2 linked regions of the Arabidopsis thaliana genome follow. The protein of the gene in region 1 interacts with the protein of each later gene in a pairwise test. Each region holds a gene or a part of one and is shown on either strand. Other genes may lie near its edges.

The links. Proteins that work in one complex are often made in the same cells at the same time.
Region 2: the proteins of AT5G08720 (region 1) and ARR9 interact in a two-hybrid assay, tested with the Arabidopsis thaliana proteins (one large-scale study listed by BioGRID).

What each region holds. Positions count from the first base shown.
Region 1 is NC_003076.8:2,840,855-2,847,243, forward strand, and holds AT5G08720 (polyketide cyclase/dehydrase/lipid transporter), read right to left. Parts: upstream 4,677-6,389; 5' UTR 4,482-4,676; coding exon 4,087-4,481; intron 3,857-4,086; coding exon 3,736-3,856; intron 3,274-3,735; coding exon 3,188-3,273; intron 3,011-3,187; coding exon 2,629-3,010; intron 2,530-2,628; coding exon 2,429-2,529; intron 2,280-2,428; coding exon 2,213-2,279; intron 1,938-2,212; coding exon 1,710-1,937; intron 1,628-1,709; coding exon 1,181-1,627; intron 1,097-1,180; coding exon 1,024-1,096; intron 942-1,023; coding exon 682-941; 3' UTR 554-681; downstream 1-553. Other genes in the region: ARI16 (IBR domain-containing protein), read right to left, coding at 4,970-5,681, 5,771-6,389.
Region 2 is NC_003074.8:21,107,120-21,112,081, forward strand, and holds ARR9 (response regulator 9), read left to right. Parts: upstream 1-1,939; 5' UTR 1,940-2,144; exon of another isoform or gene 2,145-2,185; intron 2,186-2,294; exon of another isoform or gene 2,295-2,743; 5' UTR 2,744-2,939; coding exon 2,940-3,042; intron 3,043-3,137; coding exon 3,138-3,244; intron 3,245-3,345; coding exon 3,346-3,423; intron 3,424-3,577; coding exon 3,578-3,648; intron 3,649-3,763; coding exon 3,764-4,109; 3' UTR 4,110-4,448; downstream 4,449-4,962. Other genes in the region: CBL (cystathionine beta-lyase), read right to left, coding at 4,820-4,962. UniProt on the Arabidopsis thaliana protein: Functions as a response regulator involved in His-to-Asp phosphorelay signal transduction system. Phosphorylation of the Asp residue in the receiver domain activates the ability of the protein to promote the transcription of target genes.

The sequences.
Region 1 (6,389 bases):
TCATCATTTCTCCTGATTAATCTATATCAAAAAGAAAAATGTTGTTTACATGCATGTTTCTCAGCTGTTAGAGGGTCTGTCTAAATCTCGAGGAAGGTCCCAATTATTATAAGTCATAACATATAGAGCTATTGTATAAAGTAGTAAGATTCAAGATTGTCTCATAGTTTGCCTTCAATGTTAAACACCTATCATTTCTAGATTTATGCATGCATTTTATATTTTCTATTGATTTTCCCTTTTAAAATCTCGATTTTTTTTCCTTTTTCACATCACAATTCACATCCAAATATCTTGACCCTTTCTCTTCAGTCACGAGTCAAGACCTCTGAGACTTGGTTCTGTAATAATCTAAAACCTAGAAAGAAGTTTGTTTCTAATTACGTGTAACTTCATTTCACATTGAAGGAAGACAATGATGGGACTTTCGTTTTTTCTTAAAACCATCACTATCAAATTTCATTGACTTACCTTTACTTCTTTGTTCCTTGCTATTATCCTCCTTATTGTTCGGTGCTCTCTCACTCTATTTTATCAAAGTGAAATATAAACACTAAAAACAGATGAAACATTAAAAAGAGATCAGATAATTTCAATCCAATGTTACAATTTACATAAATACATGTTTATCTTTGCGAGTTACAAGACTACACAAATAGTGAAATGTACATAATTAATGCTTCAATATTGAACCCAATTGATATCAAGATCTTTAAGATTGTACAACCATTTCTCGGTATCTTGAGAGACGTAAGGTTTATTATTCTTATTAACCGTTGAATTTAAATCGGCCTCAGTAGATTCAGTTCTCAGTATCGTGTTACCGTTGTCTTTACGAGAATTTAGCTGCCTGTTTGGATGTCTCACGTTCAATGCTAAAAGACGAGATACTTCGTGTAATCCTCCCCATTTCTCGAGCGCCCGAGCAATGTCATAACGACCTGAAACAACAGACCAAATGTTTCTCAGACCAATCCGATTGAGAAGAACACACAGAGCTTAAATTGAGTTTACTGTTTGTACCTGCTCGTTCGAAAGATTTTCTGCTCGGCATAAATGATGGATCCATTCCCCAACTCTGTTGAAATCTTCCTATCTGCAACCACATGCAGAGGGAGAAGCTCTTGTAAACACCATGGCAACAGTGGTTTTAATTTTTGAACATGTCTAGAAACTTTACCTCCTCTTGCAAGTTTTCGAGATTGTCCCAATATCCTTTCGGTTTTCGGTGTTTATAAGCAAGTGAAAGATTCATCATCAAAGCTATTCTCCTAAATCCACCCATTCTTGTAATGGCTTTTTCAATGTCAACTCTTCCATGTAACCGAAGCTGCTTCCTCATGGGCATGAATCCTTCTTGTCCATGTTCTGATATGAACTTGAGAATTTCTGATTTCAAGACTTCAATGTCTCTTTGTAGACCAGGAATCCTCCGTCTCTGCTTAGTTTGGTCTGAACCATCATCATTATTGTAAACTGTCTCAACTGATTTGGCACGAGATGAAGAACATGTTTCCTCTGAAACTTGACATGTCTCCAGTTTACATGACTCTGAAGATTTCTCTCCTCTTTTCTCAATGTAATCCCGGATAGCGCATAAATTTGACGGAAGATCTTCATATATAACCTGAAAAGATTCAGAGAAAACATTGTGGTTCCAATAAGAAAAAAAAAAGATTGCACTGAACTCAGTCAATTGTAAGCCAAACCTCTTCCATGATTGCTTCAGAAAGAAATGAATCTTTTCTCATTTTGGACTCCACGGTATACTTGAGAAGTGTGTGGTGACTTCCTAGTTGTTCAAAAATCCATTTCCCCTCTAGCGAGTCAAAGTCTCCTTCAACCTGTTCAAATCTGATTTCCTGCTCACGAATCTCATGCAAATCGAGAACAGCTCTTGCATGAAGCACCATGTAAAGCAGGCCTTTGCATCCTTCCTGAAAACAGAATTCAGTTTTAGTTATATAATTTCTTGAAATCAAGAAAAGAAACATTGGCTTTGGCCAGTATCAGAATTTTGATCTTCAAGACCAGACTAAATACAGAGCCTTTCTGAATCATGAAAGAGCAAATTATGAGTCATATTTTGGCAACCAAATTCTCTCTTCAGATTTTTCCAGTGTTAGTACCCAATACAAGTACTTGTAGAATGATTCCTTCTAGTCCTTGCCAAATTTGATTACAAGGTAACCGTGGATGAGAATGCTCATACCTGAAGTATTCGGACTTTATTGTTATCGCGTGACAAAATCTTGCTGATTGCCAAATTTGGAACTATCCTGATAGGTTCATGAACAATAAACGCAGAAGAACAAGAGATATATATAAGCCAACACAACAAATATTTGAAGAAGATTGACAAGAAAATCCTCCTTAAGGTCAGAACAGTGAAGCCCGGATATGATAAATATATGTGTTCGGTACTTACTCTGGAAGACTCTCATAAGACGTTAGAACTTTCCAAACTTCACAAACAGGAGCTTTAACTGTTATACTAGCAACGGCGCATCGGTGAACACCTCCATTTTCCTTCATCCAAGAAAAAAACCACTGACTCATAAACACAAAAGATGGGAAAACTTTTTTTTTTCATAGTATATAGAGTAAGTTTTGAGCCAAACTACTTACCAATAGACCATCAAATCTACGAAGATGAACTTCATCCACGGTGCAAGGTTTATCAAGCTTGCAGGCTTTTCCATACACTCCCCAATTGTTGTTCAATTCATTTGAATGAGCTAATGATCCAACACTGGAGGCAACAGATCTCTCCGTAGCAAGACTATCGAACTCAATACCATTAGAAGGGGCTGGCTGTGAAGATATTATACCCAACAAATCTTCTATTATTGACGGCTTTCCGCAATCTTTATAAATTTTCTCAGCTTGGCGAGCTACGGCCCGGAGATTTACAGGAAGATCTGATCTGATTATCCTCTCTAAGAAAATGGCAGGGAAGTTAAATCTTGGGATTACGTTTACTTCGTATGACAAGACAGTTCCTACGGACCTGGAGAAAGAGAAAAACAAATGTTTGGAACATAGATGGTTCCAAAATGATCCGTGGTTAGAAATGCATAACAGACTGTTTACAGAAAGAATTTCTCTGATACACATTTATAGAGGATTTAATTTAAATGATGATAGGATGAGCACACAAACTTCTTACGGGGATTAATGAGTGTACCTGATACCAGATTTCACAGACCACTTTCCCTCAAACTTTTTGAAATCACCATCTACCATAGAGAAGTGAAGCTCACGACCATTTGGCTAATAAGATAATAGGAAAAACTACATTAATAGAGATGTATGGATTGAGAAACAAATGTAATATAAGAACTCAAGAGTAAAGATTAACTAATTAACCAAACAACAAAACTACTTGTTACAAATAACATCTTGTTGTACCCTAAGTAACCAATGCAATGAGTGCAAAGCAGGCTGAAAGAGAACTCATTAGAACCATGGATATTTTCAAGAGTAAACCTCACTATGATTGTTTTTTCTAGAACTAATAAGAGGTTAGGAATAAGGATCTAGAGAAAGTGGGAAGCAGGCAACTCCTTATCAACCATGATTACAGATCATCCAGTGTAAAGGAAACCTCTTGATTCTTAACAAAAGCTAAGATATGCATAAAAAAAGAGACCACAGAATCCGGAAGAGTTTGCAGGTTTTAGACTCAATCCCAATCATTCAGCAAGAGAAAAGTAAAGGCTTAAGAGTGCTCACAGAATCTAGACACTCATGGAGATCAAGGACAACACGAGCCTCAATATGCCAATACAAGGCTCTTTGAAGGCCTCGTTGCTCCAGCCATATACGTCCTGGATGTGGACAAGGAATTCTTCCACTACAAGTTGAAACAATATACCATCAACAAAGAGAGGTAACTAAGCATGGAGATTCAGCATTCTCTTGGAGACGTATAGTCATTGTATTCAGTATAAACAATTTCAATGGCATGAACCAGATAACATAAAAATTGAATCTTTAGAGATTATTCAGAAGAATTCTGTAGATAAACACAAACAAAATGATAAGAATCTGAAAGAAAAAAGTGGGTATTACTGAGGGAAGTACCTCCAAACGAGATTGGGTATGAAATCAGCAAGTCGTTCATAATCAGTAAGAACATTCCAAACAGATTGAGAATCAGAATCGACCCAGATTTCGCCTCTTATCCTCCGTTCTCTCCACGAGATCACATCAACCTCACAACGCACTTTTCTCTCTCCTCTCTCGTCGAAACCTAATCCACTATCTCTCCTCAACCCGTTATCACCTCTACCACCGGCGCCGCTATGTCTCGTTCCATGGCACTTGGCGACCCCGCCGCCGATCCCGGAGGTGGAAATGGACGAGAATACTCGAATCCGAGAGGGAGATGGGAGCAACACACTTAAAAACACTGGTTCATTGAGGAAATTGATAGTGTGAACGCCATGAGAGAGATGTGGAAACTTGCTCACTGACATTAGCGAAAGGTGTTCGACGAAATGTGTCAGTGTAGAGGAAGAAGATACTGTTGCAGAGTGTTACATTACCGTTAAATATTCTCAGCCACCGGATTTTTTCTTATTTTATATATTTGATGTATGGTTGAAATTCACCTTTTGTTCTTCAATAGACATTATATTCGAAACCATGATTTAAACTTTATTGTTCCTCTGAAGTTTTGTATTTGCATTTTCATGTTACAAAAAATATTATAACAAGGAAACACAAACATAAACACCAACAAACAACAACAACAACAACAACAACAACAACAACAACAACAAAGACTTAGAAGACAAATGCAACAAGACTCTTAAACCAATATGATGGATGATGATCCAACACAGAGAGGAGAAAGAGAAACAAAGGAGACTCTTAAACACAAAACAACACAAGAGAAGCTAAAACACCAAACGAAACCAGCATCAATCACTGATGAGACTTATCCTTTACTCATCACTCACTCTCACTCCGATTTTCCAAGGTCTTCAGGAGCTGCTGCCACTTGAGGAGAAGGATGATAGTCCAGGGGGAAAAAGCACATCTTGCACTGTTTATCAACCCAGCTGTTCTCAAACGTGCACCTATCACAGAACCAGCGACTGCCTGGTTCATTCTCGTAACCATCAGCCTTCACTTCAGGCTTACCATCTTCCAGTTCCTTGATGAATCCATCGAAGTGGTTACCAGTGCATGTTGTACTGATTTCCAACTTGTGCTTATAGTTAGTGAAATCTTCAGGTGAGAGGGCTAGATGTATCAACTCATCAAGCTTCCCTTCGTGCATACAAAGCATTGTGCTCGCCAGAGCTCGGAGGTGTTTCAGGTACTGCTTCTTCGTGCTTTCGTACTCGATTATAGAGTAATCAAATACGCAACTCCATTTCAGTACCTGCCTGCACTGAACACTAAGCATCCCTGCTTCTCTTACTGTCCTAATGTCCAGCTCGGTCGCTCCGCAGTTCTCGATCAGTTTCGGAATGATTTTTTCCTCTAAGGCTCTCAGCTTGGACTTAGCCTTCTTCAATGCTTCATGACCTGCCTCCCACAGATTCAGGTGGAGAATCTGTGAGAATTCAACGGTAGAAGGACCCGCAGCTGGAACAGCGACTGGAGAACAATTCCAGTTCCCCTGATGCTGTTCCTCCGTGCGCAAGCAGATCCAACAGAAGTTATTACTGATGATGCATAACAGTCAAGAAAACATAGTAATGAGTTTAAAGATATAATATTTTGCACATGTTTTAAAGCTCAGAAAGAAACAAACCTGCAGATACAATTAATGAGTCTGTAATTAGGATCACCATTCTGCTGCACAGGAATCTTGCACTTGGGACAACTTTTGGTGTTTGTATGGATCCAAGAAATGCTTCTTGACTGATCCAACAGGTACGTCCACCAAATTGATGCCTTTTTGCAAGACACCGGACGGTGTGACTCGAGCCCGCATGTCCAACAGAAGGTATGGCCGCACAAACAGACCACACTGATGACATTATCTTCATTACCATCCTCCTGAAGCTCGACGGCGTATTCACAACCCGAAGCAGGACACCATTTGATCGTTGCCTTGTGGCACTCCATGAAGGATTCGAGAATATAATTCTCGTACATCTCCTTCACTGGCTCTGTGAGTTGCTCGATCGTATCGGGTCCAACAGAGGCGACACAGTCTTGGCTAAGGCAAGAGATGAGTCCTCTCTGCTCCTTGTTCTTCTTCAGAGCATCGCTGAGATATTCACTCCAGCAAGTTGTTGAAAACTTGTGTGAGCAAAAGGGCGTGGAGACTAAGTAATCTCCATCACCCGTCTCACGATCAGCTGAAGAAGAGTTGGAATTGAGAACTCGAGCCAACCCTAACTTCGCCAGAAACTTCTCCTTGTTGT
Region 2 (4,962 bases), on another chromosome or scaffold:
TCACATCACCTTCTACTACTTCACTATTTTATTTTTGGCCTTCTTTTATTATATATATTCATTTTTAATTATATACTCTTCAAAAAAGTTAATTCTATCCAATAGTTTTTATCAGTGAATTATGGTGTGTTAAGTTTTAATTTTAGTTTAACTACATCCGAGTTAAATTAAAGACATATATATAAGTACCCTATCTAGTATTCAACTTTTCTACTTTACTTTTCTTTCTATTTTGGTAATTACTAAGAGTACTTTCTTACTCTCTCTATATATATAGCTAGATGATACACGGCATATAAATGAAAATAGACCTGAATGCAGTATATCGAAGATATCATCGAGCAAAAACAACCCACAAAAGGATACTAAAAACACAAAAATAAATGAAATTTAAAACGATCAAATATCATAACGAGGGATATAAGCCACTCAACTACCTCGCTTCGCCCGAAAACTACTCGGATTACGTTCATTTCATTGCATGTGGTCCATTTCACATGTCACTATGACACACATCCACCAAATATGACATTCTCAGTTCACTTCTATCTACATAAAAACCAATTATCATATATTGTTTAAGCGTTTTATTATTTTTCGTACCTAATTTATATATGCTTACGTTAACAATTAACATGTTAATTAAATTATCGTGTTTATCTAATAAATATCAAATGTTTTATTTTTTTCTGTAAAGTAAACTGGACGTTTGAACTAATAAACACAAACACAAATAATTTGTTCGAATTAACAATCTAATAATAAATTTATAACATGTTCTAGAGATGGAAATGTCAATAAGTTTGGTTCTTCTTTCGGCTTTTTAGGTCAGTGAGAAAAAACTATTACGTCCTTTTTCCAACTGAATATCATTGTTGGTCAGATTCGAACCCAAATACTTTGATAAAACAGCCGGTCTAAAAGTGACGAGTGTCTCGTAATGTTTTATCTAGGGTCAAAAGCTGTGATGATGATGAAGGTGTTTGTGTTAGAAAGAAGAAGAAGAGAGAGAGAGAGAGGGTACTCATAAAGGAGAAATGGATGGTGGATATATTAAGAGAGGATATGTAATAAATTGAAGATCCATTGTCTACTATTGTGGATTAAAAGCATTGTCTTCCCGACATTGTGGATTACCATTAAATAGACAACTCGATCGAGCCATATCTTTTTGGTCAAATCCACCATCCTTTGATTCCTTTTCTCATTTCTCCTTCCTCACCTTCTTTGAATTTTACTTGAGTGCCTTATTCTTTCATGTCTTTTATTTGGTCCACTGTGTTAAAAAAAAGTCGATTCTTTTTTATAAAAAAAAACTTGTGGACTCATCATGTTGAATTACGGTAGTATTTCGGATTAATTGATAGAAGATTTCATTTCGGCTATAGACGTAAGAATAAACGAAAATACTTTGGAAATTAACCCTAATCCATGACCGATATATATTTTTTTCTTTTCATCGATGGGCTTGATCTTTCCCAATTATCCTGGCTGGTTTGATATAAATCGTGGCAGTTGGATGCCTTGAACGCATAATGGGAGCTTAATCACCGTGTTTAAACATTGTGATTAGGCGAATAAGTCTTGTTGGATAGATTTTGACGTGTGACCCCAAAAGTTAGACACGTATCGGATATAGTAGATGGACATGTTGATAATGGCAATCATGATGATGGTGAATGGGGCATGACCATGGGAAACAAATCTTTGGAAGAGAATCGATTTAAAATTGCCATGTCGTTGCCACCACAAACCCAACTGCTCATTATTTCACGTTTTGCTGAATATTGTTTTCTCCATTTACGTATTAAATTTAATTGGAGCAAAAAAACAAGTAAACAATTTAATGATATATGATAAACAAAAAAAGAGGCATCTTTGATGACGTCATCTGTATCTCTCAAGATTTTGGCGGGTCCCGTTTCTCCATTTATTTCTTCATGAATTTAGACTTCAAAGTGTGGGAAGACTTGATACATTTTAGTATATTATGAAGAAAACTAGGAGAAAAAGTTTTTAAGTTTACATGACTCTTTTTCTTCTTTCTCTTTTTTGAGAAAGGCGATTAATATGTTTGTTACGAATTAGACTACGGGAGAAATACGGTACATGGAAAGTGTGTTTTGCGGTACGAGAGAAGTGCGGTACGATTCAAATAGTTACAAAAATATATAGATACATATGTATATATAAAGATTTTGATACTGTTAAAGCACTGTTGCGGTGCGGTTTTTGTTACCATTCACAATCTATATGTTTGTCGATACTTATATTTTTTTGTATTTATGATAAAACTTATTAAAAAAATGAAGATGATGATGTGATATGTTATACACATATTTTTTGTATAAAATTTTTATATAGAAAAGGATTTTTAGATTTATGCATATATGATATACTGTATATGTATATTTTCAAATATGGTGTAAAATACTAAAATCAAGCGGCTGTGGTAGTAGTATATAAAGCAAAGGCCACCTATTATCTAATCCTTAAAAATCCTGCAAAAGATTTGTTTTCATTATTTTATTTTATTTAGGAAACTTTGTCTTTTTTCCTTCCTCTGCGCTGTCTTCTTCAAAAAACAAAATATTTTGTTTTTTGTTCTATTAGTAACTTTGCTTTCTCCACAATTCAAAGCTAATTTAGTTCTATTCATTTTTCCCTCTCTCTTTTGCAAAGATTTGGTAGAAGAAGAAAAATAAAAAGAGTTATAATCAATCAGATCTTGTTTTAAGTGCAGACTCTTTATTTCTCTTCCTCACCTAAGCTTCAGCATCGTAAATTTAAAACTAAAATCGCATCAAATCCCGGAGATAGGAAAGAAAATAATTGATTGTTTCTAGTGAAGAACAAAAAAAAAAAAGTCGAAGACTTTACATCTGGGTTCATCGATTTGAGATAAGATCTTCTTTATTTGTTATCTTCAAGTTTCTGCAATGGGTATGGCAGCAGAATCGCAGTTTCATGTTTTAGCTGTTGATGATAGTTTATTTGATCGGAAACTTATTGAGAGATTGCTTCAAAAGTCTTCGTGTCAAGGTATAAATGTGTGTTACAAGAAAAAAGTCTCAATCTTTGTTTGATAATGGTCGAAGAAAGATCTAAGCTTTTTTCTGTGTGTTTGGTATTTATAGTAACAACTGTTGATTCTGGCTCAAAGGCTTTGGAGTTTCTGGGTTTAAGACAAAGTACTGATAGTAACGACCCAAATGCGTTTTCTAAGGCTCCTGTTAATCACCAGGTTTGCTCTTTTATTTTTGTAAATCACTTTTTCTTCTGTTTTTGTTGTTGTTGTTGTTGTTGTTATTGAAGTTGTTGTGTTTGATTGGTTGCTTTCAACAGGTAGTTGAAGTGAATCTTATAATTACAGATTATTGTATGCCTGGCATGACTGGTTATGATTTGCTCAAGAAAGTCAAGGTACTTTTTTTTCCTAATTTAAGAGGAAAGTTTTCATATTTTCAGTCAAGAAAGTGAGAGAATGTCAATAGGAGATGAGATTATATGCTATTTGATGTGTATAAATAAAATCTTTTGATTAATCTGGGAATTATCTTGTTCTACAATTTTGCAGGAATCATCAGCTTTTAGAGATATACCAGTAGTTATCATGTCCTCAGAGAACGTTCCTGCAAGAATCAGCAGGTAAAGAAAGATTGAACCTATGAAGTTTGAGTTTGTTCCCCTTTAGATTGTGGTTTCAATCTCTCATTTCCCCGGGAATTAATTGAAAATTTTCTTGTGTCTTGATCATGAACAGATGTTTAGAAGAAGGAGCTGAAGAGTTTTTCTTGAAACCAGTAAGATTGGCTGATCTTAACAAGTTGAAACCTCATATGATGAAAACAAAGTTGAAGAACCAGAAGCTGGAGGAGATTGAGACAACTTCAAAAGTCGAAAATGGAGTCCCCACTGCAGTAGCTGATCCAGAGATTAAAGATTCAACAAACATTGAAATTGAAATCTTGCCTCTGCAACAAGATCTGCTATTAGTTCAACAAGAGGAGCAAACATTGAGTATCAACAACAAGAGGAAGTCAGTGGAAGAAGGGATTTCAACTGATAGAGCACGTCCTAGATTCGACGGTATCGCAACCGCTGTCTGATCTACCAGCTATGATACTTCTTTTTTCGGTTTCTGATTTAGATTTTTGTAGATTTTCTTAGGAATGCTTCTACTGGTACAGTACATGGTTTCAGTAGGGAATGCAGAGAGGGGAATATGATGATGATGTTGTATGTGGGGATAATGTTTATAAGTACATCAGTAAATCTTACATGGTTAATAACCCAGTTCCCAGTTTTGTTTCACTCTTTACTTTTGCTTTAAAGACACTCCAACTTGACTATCTGAAAATGGTATGAAGGATCTGTAGATGTCACTCTATTTGCCAACTGTTGTTTTCAATTCAATTCACAATGTTACTTTATCATGTATACCTACCTGTCCTAGCGAACAAAAAGGTATAAATCTGGTAAATTCAGGTGCTGATGTGTCATGGTTTGTTCCATGTTCTTGTTTCTTACCTAACCTCAGGACAAGTTGCTCACTGTGTCCTCTCCCTGCTCCACAGATCAAGAATCTTGATAAGAGTTGTATTTCACTTTGAAGAAAGATCCGTACTACTTATGTTGTTGGCTTTGAAGCCGATAATACAGAATTTAACCCCAAACAAGTAACATAACAAATCTAACAATAATGAATTTATTGCTTGATGTGTTTTCAAACACCAAATTATGTTTTATGGTTTGTTACATAGATCCTTATTTCAAGAACCTATGAAACTACAAAAGCTGAGACAAGAACAAACCAAAACTAGAGAGGGAAGGTTTTGAAGGCAATGTCAAGATCAGATATCAAATCATCAACATCTTCAATTCCTGCAGATATACGGACAAGATCTTCCGTCAAACCTCTGGCCTCACGAACTTCTGCAGGTATGCTTGCATGTGACATGA